4 linked regions of the Lonchura striata genome follow. The protein of the gene in region 1 binds, or shares a complex with, the protein of each later gene. Links are inferred from orthologs where the notes say so. Each region holds a gene or a part of one and is shown in the gene's direction. Other genes may lie near its edges. The genes, in order: SPTSSA, SPTLC1, SPTLC2 and SPTLC3.

Evidence for each region.
Region 2: SPTSSA (region 1) and SPTLC1 share a complex: the UniProt entries of both Homo sapiens proteins name them as parts of the serine palmitoyltransferase (SPT) complex. The link is inferred for Lonchura striata from reciprocal best matches to the Homo sapiens genes SPTSSA and SPTLC1.
Region 3: the proteins of SPTSSA (region 1) and SPTLC2 are in contact, whole or in part, in a cryo-EM structure (PDB 7K0K), measured with the Homo sapiens proteins. The link is inferred for Lonchura striata from reciprocal best matches to the Homo sapiens genes SPTSSA and SPTLC2. Residues at the interface, in NP_612145.2 of Homo sapiens: Trp15, Tyr18, Gln19, Leu21, Leu22, Val23, Thr24, Ala25, Tyr27, Met28, Leu29, Glu30, Pro31, Trp32, Glu33, Val36, Phe37; in NP_004854.1 of Homo sapiens: Leu73, Gly77, Val80, Leu81, Phe84, Leu87, Arg88, Leu91, Leu126, Arg129, Ile130, Tyr156, Met475, Pro476, Ala477, Lys478, Gly480, Ala481, Arg484, Glu485, Asp533, Leu534, Leu535, Gln536.
Region 4: SPTSSA (region 1) and SPTLC3 share a complex: the UniProt entries of both Homo sapiens proteins name them as parts of the serine palmitoyltransferase (SPT) complex. The link is inferred for Lonchura striata from reciprocal best matches to the Homo sapiens genes SPTSSA and SPTLC3.

The regions. Positions count from the first base shown.
Region 1 is NC_134608.1:25,602,027-25,609,745, forward strand, and holds the start of SPTSSA (serine palmitoyltransferase small subunit A), read left to right. Parts: upstream 1-4,714; 5' UTR 4,715-4,767; coding exon 4,768-4,870; intron 4,871-7,719. UniProt on the Homo sapiens protein: Component of the serine palmitoyltransferase multisubunit enzyme (SPT) that catalyzes the initial and rate-limiting step in sphingolipid biosynthesis by condensing L-serine and activated acyl-CoA (most commonly palmitoyl-CoA) to form long-chain bases.
Region 2 is NC_134642.1:7,226,067-7,233,037, forward strand, and holds the start of SPTLC1 (serine palmitoyltransferase 1), read left to right. Parts: upstream 1-3,968; 5' UTR 3,969-4,004; coding exon 4,005-4,070; intron 4,071-5,663; coding exon 5,664-5,771; intron 5,772-6,971. UniProt on the Homo sapiens protein: Component of the serine palmitoyltransferase multisubunit enzyme (SPT) that catalyzes the initial and rate-limiting step in sphingolipid biosynthesis by condensing L-serine and activated acyl-CoA (most commonly palmitoyl-CoA) to form long-chain bases.
Region 3 is NC_134608.1:21,927,441-21,935,307, forward strand, and holds the start of SPTLC2 (serine palmitoyltransferase 2), read left to right. Parts: upstream 1-4,867; 5' UTR 4,868-4,870; coding exon 4,871-4,963; intron 4,964-7,867. UniProt on the Homo sapiens protein: Component of the serine palmitoyltransferase multisubunit enzyme (SPT) that catalyzes the initial and rate-limiting step in sphingolipid biosynthesis by condensing L-serine and activated acyl-CoA (most commonly palmitoyl-CoA) to form long-chain bases.
Region 4 is NC_134605.1:4,828,114-4,836,092, reverse strand, and holds the start of SPTLC3 (serine palmitoyltransferase 3), read left to right. Parts: upstream 1-4,964; 5' UTR 4,965-5,216; intron 5,217-7,979. UniProt on the Homo sapiens protein: Component of the serine palmitoyltransferase multisubunit enzyme (SPT) that catalyzes the initial and rate-limiting step in sphingolipid biosynthesis by condensing L-serine and activated acyl-CoA (most commonly palmitoyl-CoA) to form long-chain bases.

The DNA.
Region 1 (7,719 bases):
GTTTGATGTCATTAGGCTGTTGTTCTTGGTAGATTTGCAGATGTGGTTTGTGTTAACGGTATTAACCCAGCTGGCAACTAGGCCACACAACTGCTTGCTCACTCCCCCCCACCCTCTCCCCCAGTGGGGAGGAGAATTTGGACCTGCAAACCCACGGCAAGAGGAGCCCACACTCCTTGGCAGGCCCATGTTGGAGCAGACAGCCTGGAGGACTGCACTGGAAAAATGACCCACAAAGGAACAGTTTGGGAAGAAGTGTTGCATCTGGGATGGACTCACATTAGGGAAGTTAGTGCACTTCTGGTGGGGGAGGGAGTAGAGCCCAAGAAGCAGGGAGAGTTAAGGGAAAGTCAGATTTACTGTACTTCTCATTATCCTGCTCTGATTTTGTTAATAATGAATTCAGTCATTATCCCCAAGTTCAATGTGATTTACCCATGATGGTATTCAGTGAGTGAGCTCTCACAATACTTAACTCATGGACCTTTGTGTGTGTTTCCCCTGTCCATTTGCAGAGGGGAGAGATAGAACTGCTTTGGTAGGTGCCTGGTGTGCAGCCAGGGTCAACCCACCACTACAACACAACTGCTCACCACCTGCTGACCGAGAGCCAGCTTGTCTGTGAACAGTAACCATCTGCTTTCCAGGTAACTCCCCCAGTTTATATACCAGGCATGATATTTTAGGGTATGGAATATCCCTTTGGCCAATTTGGTCACTTGTCCTGGCCAGGCTCCCTCCCCTTTTTTAGTGGTGCTCCTCACTAGCAGAGCATGAGACACTGAAAAGTCCTTGACTTACCCTACTAAATACCTCTTAGAGTGTTTTGCCAGTGAGCAGGGTCAGAGAGACAGACACAGACACCAACTTAAGGAACAATGTAATTTACTATAATGCAAAGCTGCAAAGAATCACAAAAGGATAGGCTATGCAATGCACATAATCCTTAGCAAAGAATTACAAAAGGGTAAGGTAAGCAATGCACCTCATCATTACTACAGGAGAATGCCTACAGTGATTAAGACAGATACATCACTAGTTACCCTCATACTTCACCATCATCCAGGTCCTCAAAACATCAACTGTGAGGGGGAGGCTGTCACAGCAAAGGACTGGAGAATCATGCCTGTCCACCTTGCAGGCCTCCAGGCTTCCCTGATTTTGCTGTGAAAGTAACCCAGATTTTATACTGTTAAACAAACAAACGGACATAATTTCTAATTTCACTCTTCTATTGCTTTTTCCCTAAAGCCTGACCAAGGCTCCACGAGGAACCAAGTGTTGTCTTTGATCTTATGTCCCCCTAGTAAGGCCTTCCCATGTTTCTATATATGGAAAGGTTTGCAAATAAATGAATACATGTAACAATACTTTATTAATGACTGAATATATACATAACATTTGGCTGGAATGTTCATCTAGAGGTTAACTTTTGCCCAGGGCCTTAGTAGTTAATGTAGCAACAACCAAAAGATCATGGTATTAGTGAGAACATTATTCTCAGACTAAATCCAAGTTACTGACAAGAATATGAACTCCATCCCAGCCAAAACCAGGACACTGATAAAGAAGGAATTGTCATGATACTTGGATTTTTGGAAACTTCTTGAATTTTGAAACTTTACTTTATACAGAGTGGAAGATGAGCTTACATTGATTTGCTGGCATGGACTGTTCTACCACTGATCATGTAAATCAACATGCCTAGTAATACAGCTAAATGTTGTACATGTAAATATGTATATTTACATATACATAGTAGAAGAAAGTACTGGACTTTATTGTCATTTTTCCTTATGATGATACATTTTAAGAAGAAATTTATAGTCAGATCTATTACCATAGAACCACTTTGCTTTTTCTGTTTCTTTAGTACATTTTTATTCTTTATGGGAGCACAAAGAGCTTCTGTACTTGGTATTTATGTCTGTGAAGCCACTGTATTGTTAATTCTGGATCCTTCCCTGTGTTCATTCAGGTGTGTGTTCTAGAGGCAAACTCTTGCTTTTTATTTGTAACATCTTTTATAGCCTGATATTTTTTAACTGTACCTTGAACAAGGGTCTGTCTGGAAAAAAAAATCTTTATGTTTTTTCTCATAATAGTACTAGGAATAACTAGCTATATGTGCTTTAAGGAATTGTCAGAAATATTTGAACTTTGGAGGTAGAAACCTGAATAACATCTTTTGTGCCTTAGATTATAATAAAATCTCGTAACTCTTTGGTTACCGTTTGTAGTCCCTGGTGTGGTATTTGACTGATCTACATACACATTCTATGCTGTTACATGAGATTAGGAAGAAATAAACATGCTGGTTCTTCTGTCAGGATTACATAAGAAAAGCATGGAATTACTATTTTCAAATCAGCAGAAACTGAACCTCTGCTTGATGAAGTAGAGAACTGTTGATGCAGCTGCTGAACATGTGGTTGGTCAGTATGATGTGCGTCCTCTGCATATGCAACCTACAAACAAAATGGAGCTCTGCTGGTTCTGAGGCTTGGGGTATGTATGCATGAGACAAGATCTCAATCTCATCTTTGCTACTACCTACATTCAGACTTAATATTGAAGTATCTAACTTGCAGTATCAGATAGATGTGGGATCATGTGAAGTGGGATAAATTCTTATGAGGTGTTCACAATAAATTTTGAATGTATGAAGAACTGTTTCTTGGTAGAAGTGTGGAGAAATACATGTAATAGAGAATATGGTCTGTGCTCTAGAGCATGCTGGCCTTGATTTACTTCTATTTACATTCCAGATGAAACAGAAAGGCTCTCTGTAGTGTCAGATTAAGGATGTTTGCACTGACCTACTGGAAACATGAGCACGTGAGAATGTAGTTCAAGGCCTCAAATGTCGATGCAGGTGGTATCAGGAAAAACAATTACGTGTGACAGTCCCTAAGCAGGGGCAGAATGGAGCTGGTGAAGGAAGGGAAACTGTACAGAGGAATAATGTCCATTTCCATAAGGGGCTAACTAGCAAAAAAACTCTCATGAGTATGCACCATACCAAAAAATGTAAGGGGATAATTATCTGATGACTTAGGGCAGATGTATGAGATTGTGAAGCTGTCATGCCTCTAAGCATTACCTTTCCTCTCATCCCAGGTCCTTTATTGCTGTTGCATTTTGCCTGCCTTACCACTTGAATTGCAGAGCATTTTGTTAGGAATTACAGGAACAGAGAGCACTGGATGGATGCCTTTGCTCCATGTTGATACCATTCTTGCAGCTTTGAATGGGAAATGCTTTCATTGTGCTGAATACCCTACTTGTCCTTGAACTTTGGACATGTTTATACAGAAATGCACCTTTCATGATTACCACTGTTTACTCAAGCAACATCAACACAAGACTCCTCCAGCAGTGACTGCAACAAGCAACAGCAAACTTGGATAGTGGCAACAGCTCCCACAGGCAGTTATGTCAGGATATTAACCATGTGAATGCTCTCATTTCTCCTTGTGTTCAAATAAATCTGCATAGATAAGGTGTGTCTAAATGTCTTCAGGATGAATCAAATCCCATTTCAAATTCCGGCCACACAAAATAATACAGTCTTATGTTTTTGTTGCCAGCTGCTTTTCTTTTTCACAATTACCTCCTGGTCCTGTAGTTGCATTTTGCAGCTGTATAAGTAACTCAAACATTAATGCTCCTGTGGTTGTACTTCCTTAAGTTTTCATTGTATAAATAGCACAGGATAAGGTAGAGGTGGAACAGCGACAAGGACAAAATCATATTGCTAAGTGACATAACTGCAAATTGATTGACTAAGCAGAGTAAGTATAGTGGGTCAATTCCAGTTTCTAATCTATGCTGTGCACACTTGGAATGTGTGGTCTGGACTAGTGGCCTGGACACAGGGCCTGGAAGTTGCAACACACACTCTGCTCATTTAAGGTGCCTGACGATTGTGCACATCCCCTTCCAGCGGGTTTTGCCAGCATAAACTGCCCAGGGCCTTCCTAATCACGAAGTCCCAAACCGGCCTCTGGGAATCTCTGGTTTGTGGCTCTGAGTGCCTTAGGGTTGTGCAACGTTAGGACAGTCACAGTAAACAGCTGATTCATCACTTTGTTTTTCCTATACATATGGATTAATCTGGCCAAAGCTGGCCTATCTTAAGGTCGCATTTATCTGAGCTACGTTTTTGGGTAGGCTTTGCCCTCCGACAACTGAACCAAGTTGAAGACTCGTGCAGATAATTTTTAACATGTCTCCCTTAGGCCCTGCCAAACACAGGCTTTGGCTCTTCCGTGATTCCAGCAAGGTCAATTCAGATCAAAGAGGCCGAGAGAAAGCAGATGCAGCACCATCTCCTCGGTGTGACTCGGGCCGGGAGGTTACCAGCTTCAGAGTCAGCCGCGTATTTTAATCAGACTGGGCCCGATGTCGGCGTTCAGCGGGAGAACCGGGGAAGCGGTGCGCATCGCCGCCGCTCTGCCCCGCTCCGGGAGCGGCGGCAGCGCCCCGAGCCAGCTCCACGGCCCGCGGCGCCCCCTCGCCGGCGGCCGCGGAGCCTCCCCGGTGCCTCCTCGCCGGCGGCCGCGGAGCCTCCCCGGTGCCTCCTCGCCGGCGGCCGCGGAGCCTCCCCGGTGCCTCCTCGCCGGCGGCCGCGGAGCCTCCCCGGTACCTCCTCGCCGGCGGCCGCCCGGGCGCAGGGCGGGGCCGGGGGAGGGCGGGCCCGGCTGCACCGCCCCCGTCTCCGCTCGGCCTGGCCCGGCGCGGGGCCGCTGGCGGGCGGGGAGCGCCATGGCGCTGGGCTCGGCGTGGAAGCAGATGTCGTGGCTGTACTACCAGTACCTGCTGGTCACCGCGCTCTACATGCTGGAGCCCTGGGAGCGCACCGTCTTCAGTATCCTTCTGCCGCGGGGCCTGGCGGGCGGGGGTGTGAGCGCGGCCCGGGCTGTGAGCGCGGCCGGGGGGTGAGCGCGGCCGGGGGGTGAGCGCGGCCCGGGCTGTGAGCGCGGCCGGGGGGTGAGCGCGGCCGGGGGGTGAGCGCGGCCCGGGCTGTGAGCGCGGCCGGGGGGTGAGCGCGGCCGGGGGGTGAGCGCGGCCCGGGCTGTGAGCGCGGCCCGGGGCTGTGAGCGCGGCCCGGGGCTGTGAGCGCGGCCGGGGGGTGAGCGCGGCCCGGGGGTGTGAGCGCGGCCGGGGGGTGAGCGCGGCCGGGGGGTGAGCGCGGCCGGGGGGTGAGCGCGGCCCGGGCTGTGAGCGCGGCCCGGGCTGTGAGCGCGGCCCGGGCTGTGAGCGCGGCCGGGGTGTGAGCGCGGCCGGGCTGTGAGCGCGGCCGGGCTGTGAGCGCGGCCCGGGCTGTGAGCGCGGCCGGGGCTGTGAGCGCGGCCCGGGCTGTGAGCGCGGCCGGGGGGTGAGCGCGGCCGGGGGGTGAGCGCGGCCCGGGGCTGTGAGCGCGGCCCGGGGCTGTGAGCGCGGCCGGGGGGTGAGCGCGGCCCGGGGGTGTGAGCGCGGCCCGGGGCTGTGAGCGCGGCCGGGGTGTGAGCGCGGCCGGGCGGTGAGCGCGGCCCGGGGCTGTGAGCGCGGCCGGGGCTGTGAGCGCGGCCCGGGGGTGTGAGCGCGGCCGGGGTGTGAGCGCGGCCGGGCTGTGAGCGCGGCCCGGGGCTGTGAGCGCGGCCGGGGGTGTGAGCGCGGCCGGGCTGTGAGCGCGGCCGGGGGGTGAGCGCGGCCGGGGGGTGAGCGCGGCCCGGGCTGTGAGCGCGGCCCGGGCTGTGAGCGCGGCCGGGCTGTGAGCGCGGCCGGGGGGTGAGCGCGGCCCGGGGGTGCGAGCGCGGCCGGGGGTGCGAGCGCGGCCCGGGGGTGCGAGCGCGGCCCGGGGCTGCGAGCGCGGCCGGGGGGTGAGCGTGGCCCGGGCTGTGAGCGCGGCCCGGGGCTGTGAGCGCGGCCCGGGCTGTGAGCGCGGCCGGGGTGTGAGCGCGGCCCGGGCTGTGAGCGCGGCCGGGCTGTGAGCGCGGCCCGGGCTGCCCGCTCCCTGTCGCGCTGTGTCCGGCGGCGGCTCCGGCGCTGCCCGAGGCCGCCGGGCGGGTGTGGCGGCTCGGCCGGCCCTGCGCCGTGCTCGGGGAGCTCTCGGCCGTGGTCGTGCTGAGAACGCCGCCGCCGGCGGGGCTCGCTGGGCACAGGAGAGTCGGGCGGGGCGGGGGCAGCCGGCCTCAGGCGCTGAGCGCGGCCGGGGCAGCGGCAGTCTCCGCCTGGGAGCCAGGCTTGACCCCTCCTTGCTGGCGGGGACTCGGCTCCTCACCCTTCCAAACTAACATCCTGCCCGGGCTGGGAATAAACCCCGCTGTGCTGTTTCGCATGCTGTGTCGGGCGTCTGGCAGCCTAGTCCGTTTTCTTCTCCGGCATAAGTTTGTAGCTTTGAAGTTATGATGGTTCTGTCTTTTGCATTGAAATCCCGTCTTTTATGATTTTTTTTTTTTTTTTGTATTTTGCCTAGAGGAAAGTAAATATGCACGCTGCAAAACCTTGCAAACCTAGACTTTCATGCAGCTTTGTCATATGGCTTTTGTTACATGGGTATTTAATCCTCGAGCTGGTGAGTTTTCTTGGCTGTTCTAGAGTGGAAGAACTTGACAGATGCTCATGTAAAGGCGTCTCTATAAAGACTGTTTATAGGTTTGCTTCTTTATCTTGCCCTTTTGTACAGGCAGTGCATTTTTTTTTAAGTATTGCTGTTACATCACAAGTATTTTTTTCTGACTTTTTGATCTTGACTTAAAATGATCTCTCAATATGAGTGCCCCTGAGCCATGTCCAGTTAATGCTTAGTGGTAGAGAGAGAAATTAATTAAAACATTGAGAAGGGTACGAGCAGTAGCAAGAAGCTGCTTTTACTGAGATTCTTCTTAGTTTTGTAAAGAAACTCACATTTGTTATGTAAAAGTGGTTGTCCAAGTTACAGTGTTGTGATCAGTCATTTTTTTTTCCTGTGTCTACTCAGTAGAAATGAAGATTAATGGAAAAAAGAAGTAGTAAGTTTTATAGACTTACTTTGCACAGTTTTTTGTGTAGGGGTTCTTACGTTGTATTCCATGTTAACATAACTTCTTCCTTTTATGCTATGCCTGTATCACTGAGGAAGCCTAATTTTTGTTTTCCTTGCAATTACATATCACGTGTATTTTTTTTCCTTTTTACCTTGTGCAAAATATTTAAGTAAATGAAAGCGTGTGCACATTTACTTGCATAAAATGTTCATATTGTAATTGCCACATAACATACAAATGTAAAGAGCAAGCATCGCTTCTGATCTCAGATCAGCAAAAACGTTTTTTGTCCTCAAACTGGATGCTTTGGCTGTTGGTGGGTCATGCCTGCCAGGTGCTGTATGGATGCACTGCGGACACAGTGGCCTTGGGAACTAATGGTGCGTGGCTGTGCTCCAGTACCAGAAGTGAGCATTGATGTGGAAACGTGGATTTATGAGTTGACCTTCATTTTAGTATCTCTTACTGTATAATCCTCTGGGACTGTAAATACACCGAGCAGCTCTAACAGGCACACCTCATAGCTCTGCTGTGCCGTGGGCGAGTCGGCCATGGAGCGCTTGTTACGCCTGTGCTGTGCAGCCTTGATCTCAGGAGAGCAGAGCGCGCAGCTCCTCTGGTTTCACCTGTGGAAGCAGAGTGCTGCTGCCTGGCCTTATCATGCTTGTTAATCTCCAGTGTGTTTTACAGTGTTTCAGGCTAAGTTTAC
Region 2 (6,971 bases), on another chromosome or scaffold:
AAATGAGTCACACATGTACTTTATTCTGCAGCAGGAGCAACCAACCCAGGTGGAAGTTCTGGGCTGTTAATCTCCATTCTGAATATGTCTGAAGTTTTGAATGAGAGATATGTGAGCTCTAACCACACAGGATACAAAACCTAACTCTGCAACAGAAATATTGCAACACCACACATGGTAACTGGTTCTCTGCAAAGCAAGCATTCTCATTTAAATAATGTTATGTTCTGACAGTGGTCCCCACAGCTCTTACAAGTTCCTAATACAAGTTTTCTTTAGTTATCACATAACTAGGCCTACCTGGTGCCAATTCCATTTTAAGATGGCTAGCTCAGCCATGTACTGGAAATTTCATGCTTAGTCCAGTGCAGCCAAGCCCACATGGGGAACAAGCATTGAGAAGAGGTGTAGACAGGCAGACTGCTATGCCTATATCCACCTCTGACAAGTGAGCTTTTCATTCCAAAGGTCCACCTTTGGCTGAAAATACTTTAAGTTTCCTACATAGTTCCAGTAATTGTTAAGTCCAAAGAATTGAGGTTAAGTTTGGTCTTTATGGTATGCCAGGAAAATATTACAGCAGTTCCACTTTATGCCACTTAGTCACTACAGTTGTTCAAGGTGGCATGGAAGATTTAAGAATAGCTAGAATGCACCAGTTCTTTGACCACTAGGTGCTCTTACTCTTTCACAAATCTTGTGTCAAAGGTTGAGATCTCCAGATGTTTCCCATGCAGACCTGAGACAGATTTCTGATTTCTAATTTAATAATTAATTCAGAGCTAATTCACTGTAGAAATTGGATTAAGCACATTTCCGAGATGCAATGGTGCACAGATTTAGATAACACAAAGTTTATCCTGTCCTCTGCTTGCCTTGTGCACAATTGTGCTCCTCCACATATTAGGCAAATGACAGAACCTGATATTCCAGTTCTTCTTGGCACTTGCAGAGTACTCTTGCAACATTTTTGGGCTTTCCATTAGGAGTTGAGACACAATTTCTGGCTTAACAGACAGCTTTCAACTGACTTTGAAATTTTTCTGTGCTTGCTGCCAGCATCATCTCAGTGGAGCATCAAGTTTCAAAGACTAAAAAAGACTAACTAGCATTATCCTGCTATTCCCCTTGCCATTTTGGGATTGCTTTCCCAATACTTTTTTTAAAATATTTTTTTCAGGGTAGTCACAAAGCCAACATGTTACAACTAGGCACACTAAAACCACAATAATCTAAACAAAGCTTTCATCACCTAGAATGTGTGAGAATAGCTGCAAACACTCCCTTATGTCTCTATTCTCCAACACCATCACCCCCCTTCCGTGTTTATGGTTGGAGAAGGCAGGGAAGAAGTAAATGACCCTCAGGAACTTTTCCCACCAGTTCCCACATGTCTCTGCCCACTAGACACATACCTCCAAGACAGCAATACAACTAAGATGACAGCAAGTACCACCATCCCTTCACAGTTATGTGCCACTTCCCCATGCCATTCTCCCCTTCTCAGTTGATACCAGGTCAATAGAAGGTCTGACTATCTCATACTTGATAAAGCAAAAATTAAGAAGCCAGAGGAAAAGCTAATAGAGCAAAGAGGAAAATAACAGAAAAATAACTGGCACTGGGTACATCTGTGATAGGAAAAAAATAAAATTCTTAGCCATACTTAATCCTATTTTTCACTTTCTAGAGTGATCAGAGAACTACAGCAGATAGCTGGAATTCTAGTGTTGACCCAGGAGAACTGGGGATTCAAAGCAGTGTGTGAGAAATGAGTCAGTTGGTGAGGGAGATCCAAAATAAGAGTACTTTAGAAATACTGTGCAAATGGAGAATATGGAGGGAATACAGAATTTGAAACATACAGACCAGAAATTCTTATAGGGAACTATCTCAATAGCTTTCATCAGGTCTTTAATTTTGGAGATATTTTTTCTCTCCCCTTTCTTTCCAGTCATAAACTGTCATTGCGAAGGACTTATCCCTTTACCTCCCTCACTTTATTACTGTCAGAAGTAAAGCAGCCTAAAGCAATTAGCAGCCGTTGCCCTGTGTTGAAACAATGAAACTGCTGAGCAATAGGGACAGGCTCATTATTATGAGAGACCCAGCACTATGATAATCCAGACCAGGAACTCTGAATCCACTGCCAGAAGAATTACTGCTTAGCATGTTAATAACTTCACTGCATTTCATGCTGGAAACAATTCATCTGGTGTTTCACAAAATCAGTTTTTTAGTCTTCAAATGGTACATATATATGTCAAATATTGAAAGTCAGAATCTGATGAGAGCAGAGATATGACTCAATCTGCTGCCCACCAAGACAACTCATGTGGCCCATGCTACTGGGGGCAATTTGGGACTGCATACCAGACACATTTTTTGAGGCTGGTATAGCAGCCATCTCCCAAGAGTCCAAGACTCCAGCATGACACATTGGCCACAGAAGTACTTAACAGTGAAGACAAGATTTTCATGCAACTAAAAGCCAAGACATATTTATTGTCTCTCTTGACTTTTCAGATAGCCTCAAACCACATATTTCTCTTTATTGTGCAGAGATTGGAATTTTACAAGTATATAATTAAGTTCAGAAACTCAGGGAGATTAACTATTATGCATTTCAAGTAGCATGAAAGTGAAGTTCACTGATTTTTACTATCCACTACTGTAAAATCGTAAGCTACTCTTTGTCTGTAGTTAGCAACAGCTACAAGGTTTTTGCTATCAACTGTTTCTTCAACTGTTGCCCCAGGTTTCTCTCACCCAACCACAGTGAAGACTAGTGAGTGAAAACCCAAGGGTGTGCCTCTGTTGTGTTGTCCAAGAAGACCATCAGAAGCACTCCGCAGTTGTGTAGCTCCAGGGAAACCATTCTCAAACATCATCTTTAACAACTACCTCACTTCCCAAGCAGTCTTCTTTCCAGTTGCTCCTCTTCTCCACTGACTTTTAGATAGTTGCTCAGGTCCTGCACAGCTATGCACAGTGACTGACCCATCTCCCAACACCTGGGTGTGGGGAGAGTTCAAAAGTACTACTTTTCTTCCTGTCATTTATCTCTCCCAACAATCTTTGGCTTTTAGGGCCACTCACTTTGGCAAGACTCTTAATGTAGCAATTTCTGCTCTTATTTGAACTTACCCGTTATTTCCACTATATTCAGGTTTTGTTTTTGCTGCTCTTTTCATTAGCCAAGTGTCTGAGCAATTGTTCCTTGCAGCAATGAATTCACTAGTTACAGATAATACAGAGGTGTTAAGTGTAATATTGAGGCACACAAGCACAGGATCTGCCCCTTGCCCCATTGCACCTAGGGCAGCGTGGGGCTGAGCAAGCCTGTGTGTGTGGAGGAAGCAACACCAAGCTAACTCCATCAAGTTCAACAAACAGCACCAGGTTTGAAATGTGGTGAGGAAACATATTAGTACATCCACGTTTATCTTCTTCGGCAAGTTCAATTTGTAGCTAATTTTGTTTAGCCAACACTGAAGGGTGCATCTATGTATGTGTTTAAAGAGCAGCACAAAAGAATGGAGTCAGGCTGTTCTCAGAGGTGCTGAGCAGTAGGACAAGAGGCAACGGGTGGAAACTGAAGCACACGAAGTTCCACCTGGACATGAAAACTTTACTGTGCAGGTGACTGCACAATGGAACAGGTTGCACAAAGAAGTTACGAAGCCTGCCTCATTGGACAGATCCAAAAACAGTCTGGAGACAGCGCCACGCCATGGGATGGCCCAGCTTGAACAGGGAGGTTGGACCGGATGGTCAGCCGCGGTCCCAGTCCGTGTGACCGACTGTGGGAGTCAGTGTTTCCCCGATCTTCCCCTCGCTCCCCGCTCACGCTCGCCGCCGGGCGCCGCGGGCGGGAGCGCCGCGCCCGGAGCCCGCCCGCAGGGCTCCGTGAGGGCCGCGCGGGCCGCAAGGGGGCGCTCTGCGCCGCGCCGCGCGGGGCCCGCCCCGGCGCGCGGGCGGAGGGGCGGAAGCGGCGCGCGGCCATGGCGGCCATGGCGGGCGTGGGGCAGCAGTGGGTGCTGGTGGAGATGGTGCAGGCCTTCTACGAGGTGCGGCCGGGCAGGGCGGCTTGGGGAGCGGGCAGGTGTCGCCGGAGCTGCCCCCGGTGGGTGGTGCTGGGTGGTGGATCGGGAGCCGGGTGCTGCGGGGTCGGGCTGCGCTCGCTGAATGGTGAGGATGTGTGAGTGCGCCATGGCTGTGCATTGAAAATATACGCGCGCGTCTTATTTCTCCGGGTTTATAAAATGACATTTAAGGCGTGCAGGAGAGCATTAAGCCTTAAGGTTCACAGGATTTTACTGGGGTAAGGGTTTGTAAATTACAGATGTCGTTTGCGAAGGAAGAAACGGCGTTTAAATGTTTGGGCTTGAGTTCCCTCCTGGAGGACATCAGCTGTGCGTGTTTGTACCCAGGCTTTGTTCCGTGATGTTGAAAAGGATGTCCTGATGATAGGCCTTGTTTTTGTGTCCCTTCCTTTAGCAAAGGGTCTAAAGAATGTATGCAAGATTTGCAGTCCAAATATAGAAGTGCTTAGCTAACGAAGCAGGTAGCATCGCTCTAGTGCACTGAACCCAGGAGAATTGTAGGCACTGAAAAGCACAGAGACCTCAGTGGCAGTATACTGTGTGTTCTTTACATGTCGTGTCATATGTGTTGTGTATGTAATCTTAATATGTTTGGTACGCAGGTACTCTGCAACAGGTAACATTTGTTATTTGAAGTTTGATATGCCGTAGGACTCTTTACTCGTTTTAAAAGCTTGCATCCAATTTACTTTATTTTCTGGATGTATGGTAAGTTCTGCCTTGTTGGCAGGTCAGATACCACCAAAACTATTGATGGGTGGGAGCAATTCCCCTGACTTGAAGAGGGGGTATGCTGGTTTGTGTGCACTTCTAGTCTTAAAAATATAGACAGGAGCCTTTCTGAAATGGAATAACGAAACTTATCATTAATACTAGGTATCCAGTAACTCCACATCTACTTCAAATCAGCTGCACTGCCAGAGCAAACTGATTTTTGTCCCCCAAGCACCCAAAGAAGATTACTTTAACTTGCATCAACTCTGGTTTGCTTTGTGTATTCACACACTTTGTGTCCACACAAGAGAGTAAGAGACAAAAGGACAAAACTAGTTGAGCTGACTCAGTTGTTTTATACCTGATCAAAGTGCCTGTTAAACTGACAGAAGCTGACTCTAAGAATAGAATTGTCTTTCCTTGTAAATACTGGCTGTCCCGGCTGTGGACTGTAGGTTACAAAGATGGAGAGTTGAAGTGGCTTTGTATGGATGACACAGACTTTCAGGGTCTCAGGATACTTCTGCTTGTTTTGAAGGCTGCCTGCCTTCATGGGTGCTGACTGGTGCAACCTGTTTTATGACTTAACTGCCTTTACTCTTGGTATTCAAATTATGTGCATGAACAACAGACTAAATCCATTCAAACTTAAGTTAATAGCTACAAGTAATAGCTGCAAAACGTTCCCGTTTCATATAGTTAAAATTTTTACTGATTTAGAAATATATCAGCTGATGATCAGCTTTGGGTTTTTTTCTGGGTGTGCTAGTAGGGACAAAATGTTGTGTCACACTGCTTGAAATAGAATTCTCTCTAGACTAATTTTTCTACTTTTGTTTTCAGGCTCCAGCTTACCATCTCATTTTAGAAGGAATTCTAATACTATGGATAATCAGACTTCTTTTCTCCAAGACATACAAGCTTCAAGAGCGATCTGATCTAACACTTAAGGTATGAGGAAAAATTATTTCTCTTTAGAGAAACAGTTTAGATTGATGTACTGGGTGTTGAACCGCTGTTGCATTATACATGGTTCTGCTGGTTTTTCTTTTCCTTCCAAGGGTGAGCTTACTTTGGACTCAGGAGTTTAAATATGTCAGTTTGTGCTTTTAAAGTAGCACTGTGTTTGAGAGTCTGAGAAATAAGAAAACTGATATGATAGTGACTGTTAAGCTATGAAAAGCTGTCATTAGCTCTGCTGAATGGAGGGCTTTATTTTAAAAATGGAAGAGCTATGTGAAAAACGCCCACCAAGCAAAATTAAATGTAAGATTGTAGATAGTAGAAAAATGCTCAAGCTGTATGTGTGGTGTCTATGAGTTATAACTCATGAGAGTTTACAGTGAATTCCACAAAAATTGTTTGTGTTTAGCAGCAGTTTTCTACTTTTGCAGTGTCATTCTGAGAAAATAAAAAAAGCTGTACTTATGAAGACTGGAGTTTCTTCCTGACTTCTGGCTGTAGACTATCACAAATGAGTAAAGTGTGTTTTGAGGATGTCCCTGGAGTAGTTTATATGAGCTTCAGAATAGTGAACCCCTTATAAATAGGATAAAATAATGAAATTTCTTCCTGGTACTAAAGAAAGTCTGTGAAAGAGATTTATGGGTATTTGTAATGGGTATATGTAATTTTCATCTATGTCATGTGTGTACATGCTTTTTGATCTTATTCTCATTAATGATGCACATTAAGGATGCGTGCTAAGTGTAATTCATCAATGAACAGGATGCAAGGACTGTAGGCACAAGTCTATAATAGTGAGCAAAACTGCAGGCAGTGTCCTCATTTGGGGAGCACTTATTAAACAAGCTTAGAGTGTTCTAGAGAGCACTTCAGCAGATATTTATTGAGACAGCCAGCATGGCTTCACCAAGGGCGAGTCCTGCCTGACCAACCTAGTAGCCTTCTGTGATGGAGTGACTCCAGTGGTGGACAAGGGAAGGGCTACTGGGGTAATTTATCTGGACTTGTATAAGGACTTTAACATGGTCCCCCTCAATATCCTTCTCTCTAAATTTGAGAGAATTAGGTGTGATGGTAGGTAGATAAGAAAGTGGTTGAACAGTCTCACCCAAAGGGTAGCAGCCATTGTCTCTGAATCCCAATGGACATCAGTGACAAATTAGGTCCCTCAGGAATCTGTCCTGG
Region 3 (7,867 bases), about 3.7 Mb from region 1:
GGAGTCTTCCCTAACTTCTCCCTCATTCTCCACTTACTTTTATACTACTTTTCTACATTTAGGTGGAGCTTTGGTGACTGCAGTCATACAACACCTTTGTTACCAATTGGTGTAAAATTCTCTCACTTTATTTTTAAACATACAGTCAAAAATACAGAGCACATGCCCAATGAGAGGTGGTTGTACCTTGGGGGCAGGTAACTTTGGGGTGGAGGTCTGTGTTAATGTTACTATTAGGCTATAATGAACCAAATTCATCCAAAGAGAATGATTTCACCACAGCTGTTGGCTCAGCAGCAGGACATCTTCTGCCTACCTCAGCTGACAGGTTTTATGCAGTTTCTCAGCTGCAAACTGCTGTCAAGCTCCCCTCCCTGCAAGGATTTCAACAGAGCCCAAATGAGGTGTCTCCACTCCACCCTCTGCTCCATCCCCCTTAGCAGGTGCAACAACTGTGTTTTACTCATAATTGCTGTACTGCTATAACCTCTATTAGGCTGTGAATATAACCTTTCAGTTTCCTCTGATATTACCCCCAGTCATTTTTCCACAGCTTGGTGAAATGCAGTGAAAGTGGATGGATGTTACTGCTGGTCTTAAGTTGGCTATAAGATAGAGTCTAGTCCATTGCAGAGAAACAGCCATCTCCATTCCACAATATTGCACAAGTCACTGCCCAAAGGAGGGCCAAATATCCAGAAAATTGAACTGACAAGGGTGGGATGGGAACAGCTATGACAGCTTCTAAGTACTGTTTTGTACAGAAGTCTTGGGGACAGGGAACATAACAAAAAGCAGGTAAAGCACAGGAGGATCCAAATAAAGCTAGGACAACCTTGGTAGTCAGCTCTGACTAAAGCCTAGAGAAAAATGGCTCTTTGGAAAGGTCTGAAAAAAGGTCTGGTGGTGTGTGCTCCCTTCCTCTCCACCTCTGGATGCACTGCAATGTAAGAAATGCTTGTCAGGCCTCAGTCTTGATGGACAGCACCTGGGCTCAGCTCTTCTTGAGCTTATCAGAAACACTGTCTGCTCCCAGAAATTCATGCAGTCTAATCAGCTCCTGCATTTAAACAAGCAGCCTTGGAAACTTAATTCTCTTGCCTGAATAACAACCCAAGTGTATCTTTTCTTTGCAAGCTTGATAGCAAAAACAACTGGAATTGCAGGCAGGATTGAAAATTACTGTGGTTAAAGCCAGCTCTCCTGTGACCCTACAAAGGGGAGTCCTAAGTGAGACCCTTAGAGCTCTCCAGGACTGCAGTAGGCTGTGACCAGTAATCTTGCTCTGAGTGGGATCTCTCTCAGAGCTCACAAACTTTCAAGTCTGCTGCCCAAGTTCCTTCCGGAACTTGCCCTTCTTCCATCTTCAAAGTTCACAACTCACTTCTCTGATCCATGTCCTACGTTCAGGGCTCCCTGGTGCATTCATTCCTAATGCCTCCATCTCAAACTCAAACATGAACACATCAGGAATTTGACCTCAAATAACGATGAGGCTTCTATGAGGCAAGTAATGACTCATTTGTCCCCCCTCTCTACAGCAAAAACAGCCCCATGGTTGTAAACTATGATCAGGATCTCTGCCTTGTTTGACACCCATGCTGGGCGATATTGTTCAGTTGGCAGAGTAAGGCAGTTTGCTCTGCCAGTTCACTGGAGTGCCAGTTCACTGGAATAGTATCCTTGAGACTTAAAATGTAATTGAAAACTGGAATTTGCTCTTTAGATTTCTTTTGGTTTCCCTATTTTGCAACTGCCTAGTCCAGAGGCACAAGCTGCAGCCACCTGTGTACACCGGTGCCTTGTGCACTGCACAAAGCCATATCAGAGTTGCCTGCAGGTGTGATTGCAGCAGCTCTGTGGGATTTGTTTGATGCTGCCTATGGCAGTAGCTGTGCCCTGGGATGGCATCCTTATGCTGTGACTTGTTTCCATGGATATCCTGGGCTCTTCTGTCACTGAAGCCCCAGTGTGAGCATGGCCTCCCATGTCCCCTGCACTGTGCTGGAAGGGACCAGATGCCCCTAAAACACCAGGTGATGCTGGCCCCATGCTCAGGGCAGGGTGAGGTCCCTCTGTGCAGGGGAGCACTGCAGCTGCTGTATAAGATTGTACAGTCCTGCATGAGCTAACCATTAGGTCCTTTAATGCTATTTACATTTCCTAAACCAAAACTGAAAAAATCACATTGTAAGGGTTCATGTTAGTTGGGTTCAAGGACAGATGAAGTGACCAGTCTCTAGGTACCTACACGTGAAAAGGGTTTGTGCTTTAATAGAGAACACAGCAGTGAGATTCTGTGCCTGGCAGGTGAAGCAGCTTATCCTCTCTAGAAGTAAAGCATTAGCAGGTGAAACTCATTCCTCTGCAGGTGGGCAGGCAGGAAGTGGAGGGTGCTGCCCTACACATGCCTTGTCAGTGTAGACTGATGGACAATCTGCACCCCATGGCAAAAACTAGTCAGTGTAATTCAATCTGTTCTGTTCAAAGGGAGAGGAGGCAGGAGGAAAATGCTTATAGTTAACTATGGCAACAGGGGAAAAATACTTCAGGAAGTCTACAGTATGTGATCCCCTAATACATTTTTCTTTCTTGTTCATTTTTTTCACTATATTTATTAGCTCCCTCATAGATTACTTCAACTCTGCAAAAGCCCTACCCTGCTCATCCAGAAAGAAATCACATGTGCCTCTTTCCCACCAGTGCTCCTCACTGCACCTACAGCAAAGCAAGTCCACTTGCACAAGTTCTCAAGTGCTAAGCAGGGGTGTTTGCTGCTTTGATCCCAAGGTCCTTCCTAATAACACCAGTCTTCTCCATGGTCCCAGCCTGCAAGACAGGAGATGGGACATGGCCCAGCCCATCTTAGCTGGTGGCTCTCTCTCGCTGCACGTCAAAACCAGGTGAAGAAAGCTTACTGCTGAGGCAAATGTATACCTGCTTCAGCGGTAGTCCACATATGGGAGTGGCCACAGCAAGAAAAGGAACAAGGTCAAAAGCCACCCTGCACTTGTTACTGCTGAGGCTGTGTTTGTACCCTCACCCTCTTTGTCCTCCAAAGGGGACATGGAGACATGAAGCAGACTGGACATGCACTGCTGCCTACAAATAGGCTGAAATCAAGCTGTGAAGCTTTCCTGTCTTCCTGAGGGAAGAAAAAAGACTGTCTTTCACAGAAGCTAATTCACTTGCTAGGCACTGCATGTTCATACCAAATTTGCAATACGATCCATGACAAAGGCTCCAAGATGTGACTATAATACATAAAAGTAACTATCAACAGTAGCAAATCACAGAGAAAAGGATGAGACCATTCTCTTGAGTTTGTATGCTTGAATCTGATAACTCTTCATTTTGGTTTTTCCCTTGTTGCTAAGTGCAAAGAGAAACCACAGCCCTTCCCTGTAAATGACACTGGAGAAATCAAAGGTCACACTCGTCCATCTTTTCAGTGTGATTAAATGTGTCAGGCTGTTTACTTTCTGCCAATTAACACTCCTGCAGTTCGGGAATCGCTCCCTACTCCCTCACCAGGATGCATACAGGTGTTTAATAGTGCACAAATGCAGACACTTTGTGGCTTCCTTCTGCCCGTGTCTGCCTGACGCTTGGTCACTCAAACTGCATTGAGGCTGGTAACTCCCACTCCCGAACTAAATATACTTATTTAGTTTAGCATTTAGTTTACCTGGTCTTTGAACGAAGCACATATCTTCAAATCCTGTCAGAAAACACGTTTGAACACATACCTAGTACGGTTTTTAAGCAGAGCCGTGGGCAGAGCGAACAGCCGGGCAGCTCCAGCTGCCGGGCGCGATACAGCTCAGCAGGGCGGCCAGGCTCACGCCAGGCTTCAGCCCTGTAAGTGTAAATCCTACCGGAATTGAGCTCTGCCCGAGGCTGGCCTGCAGGCTGCCCTGCAAGGGCCTTCGGTGTCCTGGTGGACTCCAGCCAGGATACATCTCTCCCGAGCCGTGGCGAAGGCAGTACAGTAACTACGCCTGATCCCCTAAACGCTTTTCGGAGCTCTCACCCGGATGATTTCATTAGGGCACAGCCCAAGGCGTCCTGGGACAGCCCTCCAGGTCTCGGAGGACCGCTTCATTCATCAGCTCCCTCAACAGGAACCAGCGAGGGGCTGCCCGCTGCCTTACCCACCCCGGCCCGCTCCCCGCTCCAGCCACCAGCGTGCCGCAGGGCTGCCGGTTTCCCGGCGGGGGTGGTGACGGTGGTGACGGCGGCGGCGGCAGCAGCAGCAGCAGCAGCAGCAGCAACCTGCGCCGCGCTGGCTCCGGCCTCCTCCCCACCACGGGCAGGAACGCGCTGATGGGCGCTCCGGTCCCCCCGGAGCGGTACGAGGAGACCGGGGCAGCGCCCCGCTGCCCACTGACCTCGCCCGCCCCAGCAGCCCCGCGCCCCTTCCCTGCCCGCACCCGCGCCCGCCCATTGGCTGCCGCCTCAGCCGCGCCCCACTCCTCTCTCCGCCATTGGACGGACGCTGCCCCTCGCTCGCGCCCCTCCCTCAGCCTCGCTCTGTGATTGGCTAGCTATTCCCGTCCCCTTCGCGCCCCGTCCCGTCCCTGCCAAGTGATTGGGCAATGCTCACCCTCTGTCTCCGCCTCTCCACGGGCGTTTCCCTTCGCCATTGGGGGAGCCCCTCCCTTGCCCTTGCTCCCCTCCCACCCGGGCGCGGCGCGGGCTCCCATTGGGCGCCGGCCGCCCGCCTCGCACGCGCGCCGGCGCGCCCAGGCGGGGCCCGTCCCCTCGCGTGACGCCCGCGCCGGCGATTGGGGGAGCGCGCGGCGCGCTTCCGGTGCGGAGCGGCCCGGCCGGGCGGGGGCGGCGGAGCGGGCGCGGCGGGGCCGGCGCGATGGAGCGGCCCGAGCGGCCCCGCGCCAACGGCTGCGGCGGCGCCCACGGCGCGCTCCGCAACGGCTTCGTGCGCGGCCCGCCCGGCACACAGGTGTGCGCGGGCGACGGGGGCGCGGCGGCGGGCGGCGGGGCCCCGGGAGGCACCGAGGCGGGGCCGTGAGGGGTGTCGGCAGAACCCGATGGTTTGTGTCGTCGGCTCTCGCCCGGGGCGGGCGGGCAGCGCCCGGGGCGGTGCTCGCTCACCGCACTGGTGGCGGCGTGGGCAATGACTGTCCCTCGAGTCACGGCTGTAACTTTACTGCGAGGCTTTTGAACTTAAACCTCGCTGTAGCTCAGTGGGTCTGGGCTTTAGCAGAAAAGGTTCAGCAGTTCTTCGCCACCGTTTCGCTGTTCCAGGCGGACGCGCGGGGCTGTGGGTACGAGGAGCCCTGAGCACGGACTTCCTCTAGAGCAGAGTTGGAGCTTGGTGCAGCGCTTCCCATCTGCCTGTATTAACGCTGGGATGCAAGTGGGTATTTGTGCTTGCGGACTCCAGCTGTTTCTATGCAAAACACTCAAGGTTTGTGTTATAGTGTAAAGAACTTAAAGGTTGTTATGAAGTCAGCCTCAGCAGAAGGCAATAGGTTGTGTTTCCTTGAACACTTCAAGCTGCTTGATAAAAGCCTTCCTCTGTTCTCATCTCTCCTGCTGCTTCTGTTTTTCAGTCCTCTGCTCTCCCTTCTATTTTTTCAGCGTAGGTTGTGGACTCACTGTGTGGACTAGATTGAGAACTGATGCAGGGTAAAACGAAACTTTTTTCCCCCCTGGGTTATCTTTAACTGAGGATACTTATTCTATTTCTTTGACTGGATAGATGCTCGTAGTCTTTCCCTGGCCCTTGGGAGATACAGCACAATATTGGAAGTGAACAAATGGAGGGAGGTACAGTACATTCATTTGGCAGCAGGGTCAGTTTGTACTTGTTTGGGGAGCTGTGGCTTTGGTAGTCTTGCCTTGCAAACAGCAAGCACTGCTAGCTATAAAACCTTACATGTAAATCTTGGTAATAAGATAAAGTATGGTGCTGGAGAGTGTTCTTCTGTGAGAGTTTTTCCCCACCCTATGCTTTCTAAAGAAGAATGTCTGAATACAGTTATATTCTTCCACTTCAGAGGAACAGAAGGTGGGGTCAGGAAGCATTTCCTCAAGGGCTTTGTTTACCTGTGTAGCTGGAGAACATGGGTGATGTAGTGTGTGAATGAGAAAAACCATGCATATCAAACTGAGGAAACTTTAAAAACCTTGCTGATTTATGCGATGTTCTATTCACTTAGTAGCTTGCATATGATACTATGCTCAGATATGTTTTGGGGACCTGAGGCATTTGAGATAACTATTTCTGAAGTGGGTCAGGGTTCACTGGAGAAATGGTCATGAGAAGTCTTACCAAAAATCCAAAGTATAGCAGCAGTGTGAGATTTAAGAGTGTAGGAAAGTTTGGTATCTTTCTGGCAGCTGCTTGATTTATAATTAGGAGTATTAAATTTTTTCAATTTTATGTGGGCTAACTTTATGTTAACTTTCAAAGTAAGGGTCTGAATGTTACAACTGGACTGGAAGAAGCAATTATTTAGGAGAACTAATTATGTCCAGCTTTCTCAGATAGCATCTGTGGTGGTAAGCTGCCAAAAGATGTGTTTGCTGATATATCACAGATTTGGTTAATTGATTGGTATTTTGCCTTTTCAGTTTTGTTTTTTGAACCTTTCTATAGAAGAAAGGAAACGTGAATGCGCACATTGTGTTGTATATATTTGCTGTGTATGTATATGCTATGTACTTACCACATACAGCACTTGAGAATCTGCAACTGTAAGCAAGTACCAAAAAGGAGGCAACTTGCACAAAAGAATGTGATTGTTACTTAGTAGGAAAAAAACAAACAGAAAAGTGAGGATGCGGAAAAGAACTTTTTCAACAAGGCCTTTCACAGGTTTTGTGTGAGAAATAAGAGGTAAAATGAGAACATGAGATCTAGCTGAAATGATGGGAAGTGAAGGGGAAAGGAAAACCATCAGTTTAAATAAATGTTGCAGTCATTGACAGTTTACCTGGAAAAGCATGGAGCTTCTGAGGGGAGAGCTTAGAGACAGGGTAGTGCATTACCATGTCCCCCAGTAGTGCTTGATAGTGCAGAAAAGCTTTACCCACTTTTAACTATGTGAAAAAAAAGGAGTCCTCTTCTACCTAGGACATTTCTGCTCAGACTATCTATGTAAGTTTGGGTTTTTTTTAATTCTTGATTTGTTAGTTTATGTGGTTTTGTAGGGTTTTATCCTAAAAAAATAAAGCTTAAATTCAAATGTTTCCTTATGGTACTCCCTCCACTGAGGGTGGTATTTGACATATAGAGTGGGTTCTTTACTGTTGCTCCAGGATGCACAGAAGAGGGTGAAATTGTTTACTTAATTTTTTAAGAGGTTGTATTTGTCTCCTTCTGAACTGCTAAACCTCTTTGGTAAGAGGAGAGGGGAAACTTGCTGCCTACTAAAACTGTGCAGTAACAGACCCTTGACTACCTTGGAGATTAATAAAATATTATCAGTGATTGGGAAAGTGGCCATTTGAAGCTAGGGATCGAGCATAGCAAAAACATTCTGCTGAAATACTGAGATAAATACAGCTCTTGGCTTTCCTGAGGTATCTTGCGTTCAAATTACTTGGCTCCTGCTTGAAGTTAATCTGTTTAGAGATTGTTACATTCACTGAATTTCAGTCTCATTATGAACACCTTTATTAAAAGAGGCTGAAGTACCAATGGAATGTTGGAGAAAAGTGACTTTTTTTCTGACTGTATACAGTTAAGGGAGTTAATGGTTAGAAAGAATAGTAATTTATGGAAGGGCTTAAAATTTATCTAGAATTCTGGTGTAATACTGCAGTATGTAAGATAAAAGCCTGACATGTCAAAGGGTATTGTCATGACATGAGAAGTTGAACATAGATAGGAGAAAGA
Region 4 (7,979 bases), on another chromosome or scaffold:
GGCCACCACCTCCCCTCTTGATGCCTCAGGGTGCCTTGCCCTCTCCAGATCCTTTTCCATGCATTTGGGTCATATTGTCACATGCTACAGCAGCAGGGTTTTTGATTTTTGTGTGCTGTGGCTTTTTCTAGATTTCAATAACTAAGAGTCCCAGGTGATGGCACCAGGTTTACTGAGTTGTTTGGTGTGTCAGTTTGGAGTGACCGGTGTTATTCCCTCCCCCTGCTTTCCCTGGGTATTCATAGTGCTCAATAAAAGCTTCTCACACAGTCTAAGCACAGGCTTCAAGCATATCTTTTGTGATAGATGAGTAATGCGATGATTGACTCTCACAATTATCATGTATATACGTAAAGAAAAGTTTTATAGATTTATAGTTATGTTTCACCCCCTTGCATTGGTGTCCAGAGACAGCCAGGGTTGGGACAATTGGGAGGGTTAGCTTGTCACTGTGGTGACATCTGACTGAAGCAATACGTGGGATAAATAAATAGACTCCACAAGCTGGAGTAGTTCTGAAGTGGGTATGTACTGTCAGCACCCAGCACAAGTGAGATATCTCTCCAAAAACTTGTGCACCGAGCCTCGGTCTGACCCACACCTTTACTGAGAAAGGTGTTCCATGTTCCATACATTACACAACTTTTCCATGCATATTCAACCCCTGGCCCCGCCTGTCCTCGCCTCTCATGCTAAATAGGTCCACACCCTTCTAGGCATGCATGGTTTACCGTGGTGGTCCTGTGGGGGTCTCTGGTGGTCTCTTGAGGCTGAAGATTGTGGTCTTCCTCATGACTTTTGAACTTTTCTCCTTTGCGCATGTGCTTTTGGTCCTTTGGTGCTTATCTGAGTACATCTGTCAGTTTTGATGGGCTTGGAGACAGTGGAGCTTCTTTATCTGGGTTCTTTGCATCCCTAGGCATTGTTCTTTATGCAAGAAATTTCAAAAATTTGCATTTTCTTATGCCCTTTGTACCATGGCAGAGGTTTTTAAGTAAAAGGTTAAAATTCAACACGTAACTCTACAAGCTAAAATATAAATGCTTAATTCATTTAGTTAACTTAAGTGAACTCCAAAAATCTCTATTTCATGACCTCCAATCAGGATTTGAGGAAGTGATGTCCACCACTGAACAGCAAAGAGGTCGATTGACAGAGCTTTGGGAGGGGTTAAAGGGTAAAAAGGCAAAACCTCCATTGTGTGGGTGAGCACATGGAAAATCTGTTCCTCCCAGTACCGTAACATTTTCTCTACTCAGTCTTCTGTTGTATTTTTGGTACAGTTTAATAAACCTTTCTACAAGTGAGTAATAATTTCTCACACTTTGGACATGCTATTTTTTTAGCAGGGTCTGTTACCTGCCAAACAGGAAGTTCAAAGGGCTGACGGAACAATCCCTCTCACCTCAGCAGCAGGGAGAGCAACACATTCATCTTTCTCTCATGTATCTTTCAAGAATTGGAAATAAATACTAGGCTATTAGGCTTTTGCAGAATACAATGTTATTTAGACACTGGAAGACTCTTGCGAAGTAAAACAATGGGCAGGCTTTTCTTTCCTGTAATTACAAAATATTGCCCTTCATCCCTTAAGTCTTGTTAAAGCCATGTGAATATGTGTTTGGGACAGACAAATGGGCTTACTTTATGTTTAAGGTAATTTAGTTTCTTGGATTATGATAAACATAATCAGATGCTAGAAATCCTAAAAATTTAGAATTTATTTTACTGTGGAAGATTATAAAATAAATAATAATATTGACAATAAATTCACATAAAACATAACAAAAGTTAAATCTGGAACCAAAGTCCAAAGAAACTCTTCAAATTGTAATGTCCAAACACAACCCTTCAGGTCTTTAAGCTGAAGTGAAGTAATTTAAACTTTTTCACATAAATTTAATTTCTGTTTGTGGAGCCACAGTGAAACACTTTATCCTACCTTATGTTACTGAATCTTGCAGTGACCTGTAGGAAATTTCTCTGCAGGCTGAGGGATTTTGTCAGAATTGCATGTTATCACTGTAATGATGCTAATATTTTGACTCTGTCTCACAACCAAATATTGCAATACCAGATTACTTATCCTGAAGCAAAATATTTTGATCTCACTTCCTAAATGAAATCCAAACATTTTTGAAAGAGCATAGCTTTTCATTCCAATAATTTCTTTTCCATCATAAATATATTTCAGTGGAACAGTCCTGTGCCATTACAACTTCCAGCTATAATTTCAAAAAGCACGATCTTTTAGAATCTCACTTGCTAGATAAGACCATACTTTTCTGTGTGTGTTTTTTTTTTTCCTGAATAAACAAAGCATAATTTAGAATTGTAATTAAGAAAACAATTTTTTCAACATTGGTCTTATACTGGCTGGTTAGAAAATGCTTGAGGAAATGTTTTGCCAGGTTATTATTGATTATTTTAGAATAAATGAACCAAGCTGGTAACTAGGCAAATAAAATGGGTCAATATTTAAGAACAGTTTTATGAGTTCTACACCACTGCATAGGAAAAGCCGATAGCAATGAGATTGTGGTGACAAATATGCTTAAACAAATGTGATGTTTCTGATGATGTTCGTGACCCATTCCCTTATCTCCTCAGCATACTGAACAATAAAAGAAAGAAAAACTAGCATGGCCCCTGAAGTAGCTGTCTTGACCTGAAGAAATTCAGAACTTAACCTGAGAATGACAGAGTAAGGAGGCAAATTCCTTACTTCTTAGGGTTTTGAGGCATAAACAAACAAAAAAGGGACATTGGAATCTTAAATTTGTAAACCTTGCACTTCAGCTCAACATTTCAGACATCTCGTGTGTCAGAAACATGGTAACCTGAAACTACACTTGGCCTATGCTGACAAAAGGATCTATTTGCTGATCACTGAGGATGATCCAACTGGAGCATTTGGATGCCCTCAGCACATCAGGGTGCATGGTCTATTCAGAAATCTGGAACAGACTTCTGGAAGGCTGCAGATCCAGATGAACCCAACAGGTATATATTTCTGGGAGCATAAACTTCTGCAACCCTACCTAAGTGAGAATAACTGAGTCCACAGATTATTATGAGGTGATGATTACATGTTTTTACTTTGTGCTAAAAATTAAGCTGGAAAATTAGGTTAATAATTCTGAATTTCTTTTTTCCCTTTCAGCTCCTTTTCATTCAGTCCTGGCTGAGCAAATGAGCAAATGAAAGGGGCATCTTGCAGAAATGCAGTTAGCAGAAAGCAATGTAATGAACCAGCTTGTTTTTCAAACCATGAAGTGCTATCATCCCTAGGAATAATTCTGAATAAACTCTCTGATACCCTCAAGCTCCGTCTGTTCTTTGTGGACTCGTGGGTAATTGCCATGGTGAAGAACATGCATATATTAAATTACAGGTATTATTTTAATTTTTTTTTTACTTTGTTAAATGCATTAAATTCCACGCTTGTTTCACTTAATGTCAGCATAAGGCTCCAGGCATCCTTGTAATGTAATTACCATTGGAGTCATACACACAGCTGCTGTTCTGTGGCAGGTGACAGCACAGCTTTGCATTAATGTGAGGCTATTATTAATAATGCTAATATTTTCACTTGTAGAGATAGTGCATATTGCAAAAAGGTTATTATTTTTGAATCATTTAGTCTGACTGTTTTCTGTATTCCATTGAATAATGCCACATTTCCAAACAGCCAGCCATAGGTGTGTCACCTGTAAAAACAAACACCTTGCATGACTGTATTAAGTTCAAACCTTGTTTTCCTTCGCTTTGGTTCTGAGCCACGGCTGCTCCACAAGATAGATTAATAACCATAGGATTAGCAGAAAATATATCATGTCTGTCTGCTGCAAAGAGTATGGCTGATCTTTAGAGGGTGAGAAAATAAACTCATTTATGCTTCAAGAGAAGCAAAATAGCCTCACAGACCAGCAGAAATTTCCTTCCTATTTCACAGAACCATTCTGTAATCAGCATCTTAAATTGTATTATCTATAACATAAGGTCATAATGCAGCAGCCTGGTGGCCTGTGTGAACTGCAAATCACTGCCCTGGTAAAAGAGCTTTGCAAAGAGACACCAGAGAAGTCACCCAAAATGAGACAAGCGTGGGAGAAAGCTATGCTTTTAAATACACAGCAGCTTATATCACACACACAAGCCAGCTGGCTGAGAAGAAATAGTTTACAGCTCTAAATCAGTGGCAATTCCTAGGTGTTATTTCTCTTTTTATTATGCAACGCTATGAGGGAGAAAGCATTAATTCTCAGAATATTTATACATTAAATACACAAAATATACTGCAGACCAGAAGAGGAGTTTTCAAAAGCAGCAGACTGACCTAAGCTACCTCCCAGTCACAAGCCTCTTCAGGAGGTTTGGAAAGGTCTCAGCCAAAGGTTTTGGTTTTGTTTTGCTCCAAGTACAGGCAGGAGCAGGGACCTGCTGGGGCGTGCAGAAGGTGTCTCCTGGAAATTTATTGGAGTGAATATCAGAGGAGGCCAAGGTGGCTGCCAGGTTTTGGAAATAAGTTGTCCTGCCCTGCCAAGGGCTGAGTCTCTGGTCACTTTGTGTGACCTGGAGGCAGCCCCAGGCCTTCCCTCCCTGTGGCTGATCCATCTGTCTCTGGAATTGGTTCCCAGTCAGTGCAGTCATGGTTATTAGTGTGCACTAGGATGGACATGTAGGCAAGCAGAGAGACTGGGAGGCATTTTGTGTAGCACATTGGAGAAGGAAACACAAGTAGCTGGTGCTGCTGGGGGCATATGGTTTAGAGACAGGACATTTTGTTCATCCAAACAATTTGCCAAATGTTTCTTATAAATCCCCTACCTAAAATAGTAAGATCTGTTGAGGTTCCCTGGGATTTATAACAGCCTAATAACCATAATAAATGATGTTGTTAGTATGGGGTGATCAATACAGTTTTCTTGAAGTTGAAGATAAAAATTAACAGCAGAGGAAAGGAAACCTTTCATATTTACACTGTGGGAGCTCTTGTATTAATTGGCACATAATCAGGTGCAGCTGCTAAGGATCAGGCAGCTCTTAAAACTGACACACAGAATACTGCCAATGCAGCCTGAAGAGCTAGAGAATATGTAAATATTCTGTTTGCTTCTAAGCTTACAGATTGCTGGTCCTGGGTTCTACTGACATCAGGATGAGACACTGTGGGATTCCCTCATGTCATAAACCATCTCTTCCCCTACTTGCAGGTCAGTGAAAAGTATCTGTCAAAATATACCTTTTTTTTTTGTGTGTGTCCTGTATCTTCATCACACCAGTCTTCACAGCATTCAGTTTTCTTGATGGGACACATGCACATTCTTTGTGGGATCTTCTTTTATTTATTTTATTGTTGTCCTCGGGAGAAATTATGCACCTCAGGTTGCCAGAGCTACACAACAGCAGGCAAGTTCAAACAAGAATATAAACTCAGGAAAGCAAATTGTGTAGTAACAAAGGATTGAGCTCTTGATTACAACCTTGGAAGCTCTTACAGGCACAGCAAAAAATCCCAAAACATTTAGGAAATCTGCAGTGACTCTAATAACACCCTCTTGTTCTAGCTGTCACTTAGGGTTTTCTCTCTCAGCTATCTGTCAAGGGGCCAATTCAGCCAAATTCCCCCTCCATGGGGCTGGATTTCTGAGTAGGTTTTCATCCTGGTGTTTCCATTCACTTTAATCTGCAATGGTTTTCTTGTTGCTATTGAATGCAACCAAAGCTTGGAGGATGTCTGTTTATTTGCTCACTTAGGGTCTCCTGCTCCCCTGTGGCCTTTGTGTGGGTGTTTCATGGACACATAAGCCAATAAGATATCTTTAACATGAAACATGACAGCTCTGCTTTGTGAATAAGGTTGCTGAAGGGCTGAGCTTTTCCTGTTCTCTTTAGAAAGTGAGCTGAACTGAGTTTAGAAGCCTGTATGTGATGTTTTATTAATCCCATGAGTCTACTTGTGAAACAGTTATGTCCTTTGGCTTCATGGCACTTTTATAGTGACCATGCAAGTGGCCATGTTGCTACACACTAGGCATTTCAGGGTTTGTTCTGCCAAACAGGTTTGTATTGCATTGCTTTAAGAATGGTTTTTGGGACACATGAAACACCTTTTCTTGCCATCAGTAACAGCTTTTTTGTGTGCCTTTACAAAGCTAATCAGCAGCTGCATTTGTTTCTTCTCTCCAAAACACCCTTCTCCATCTTGGCCTAGGTGTTCCTTGCATTAATATTCATAAATTTGATATTAATTAAGCGTAAGAGATGTGGTTTCTTCAATCATCTGAGGTTCTTTCTTCTCTTCATGTCTGCAGCATGCTGATTTTATGATCTTCCCCCCAAAGAAGTGAAAGAACAAATGTGTAAATACAGACACTTGTGTAAAAGCTGGTGCCACGTGTTGTCTGGCAACTAATAGTTGTCACATCTAAATTAGCCAACCTGCTCTGGAGACAGGTGATAAACAAATAGGGACCTCAGGAACAGGAAAAAGCACATCGGGGAGGAGATAAACAGAGTTCACAAGAGGGGGCAAGGGTTAAACACTTAGAGAGGTGTAGGCTGAAGTCCCTGCAGTAATCATTGTTTTTATTTATTGCTGCCTCTTTTGGCTATTTATTGCTATGCTGATGAAAGAGTTTCTTATTTATCTGGTTTTTGTTAATTCCCTTGTTTTCTTCCTGGACTGACCCTCTGGTTTGTTTTTTCTGTTAGAACTGCAAAAAAGTTTGGATGAGGGTTTTATAATTCTGTTCCAAATGTGTTATTTTCTTGAGTAGACCTTGTTCTGTTTTGTGCACTTGAAAGGCACAAGAACAATAAAGTGTATGCAGAGTGAAATCAAAAGTAGTGCAAAGAAGGTCTTGGAGAACATCACACTGATGTTACTTACCAGTTATGGTGGTTGTTATTTTGTAGTTTGGTTTTTGGTTTTTTTTTTTTTTTACAAGCTCATCGGATCAACTAGGTACTAGACAAATCCTTACAGCTTGAAAAATTTGCTTGGAAGCATCTTTTGCTTTTTCCAGAACTGGTGTGTACATTTTATTCCATTTTTCAATATACTGAGTGTGAAACGTTCTCTTTGAAATATGCAGTAGTTTCTTATGTGTCTACAAAGTGATTCTACAGAATTTATTTATTTTTTCAATTTTCAAATAAAAAAACAAGAAAGTGGCTTTTGATTGAAATAAAAAATAAATATGAGGAAAATAATATAAAGCTAGAGAGAATGGGAATAGAGTGTAAGAGATTTATTGAAAACTTTGAAGAGAGGAGCATGTGTGGGAAACTGTCCTAAATTTGTGGTTAGTCTTTAAATTCTGCCTCAACTGTACATCAACTATTCAGTATTTTATGAATTGGTTTTGCCTAGATTATATTTTAAGATTGTAGATTTTATGTTTATTTATTGGTTTTAAAGAATGCTATGCTAAAGAAATAAGAAGTACCAAAAATAGGGCACAAATCCACTCTGGGGTACTGAAAGCCCAACACTGGGTTATTTTGGATATACCCTATGTGAATCTCTCTCTTTATTTAGCGTGTAGTCAGCATTAAAAATAACATTTCACCATATGTGAAGAACAAGAAGCGATCAATACAAAGTCAGGCTACCTGCCAAGAAGGTTTTTTTTTTTTTAATTTAGTTTTTTGTTTGGGGTTTTTTTTCCCCAAATATTAAAAACATAAAAACATGAAAGAATAATACTATTAAGAACTTTATTCTGTGTTGTTTGACAAAGAAAAAAATTAATCCTTAAATATTACGTTTGTGCTATTCTATAATTCACAAGGGTGTAAATCCTGACAGCTTTGGAGCCTTTTGATACTTCCAAAGATATGCATTAAGAGCTGTCATGCCTTTCCTGAAGGTAAGAATAGATACCATGCTTTATTTTGGAGTAAAGGGAGAACCAGTAAGCTTTACTTTCCTTAAATCCATGGTTTGTAGGTATCCAAGTTTTCCTATATGA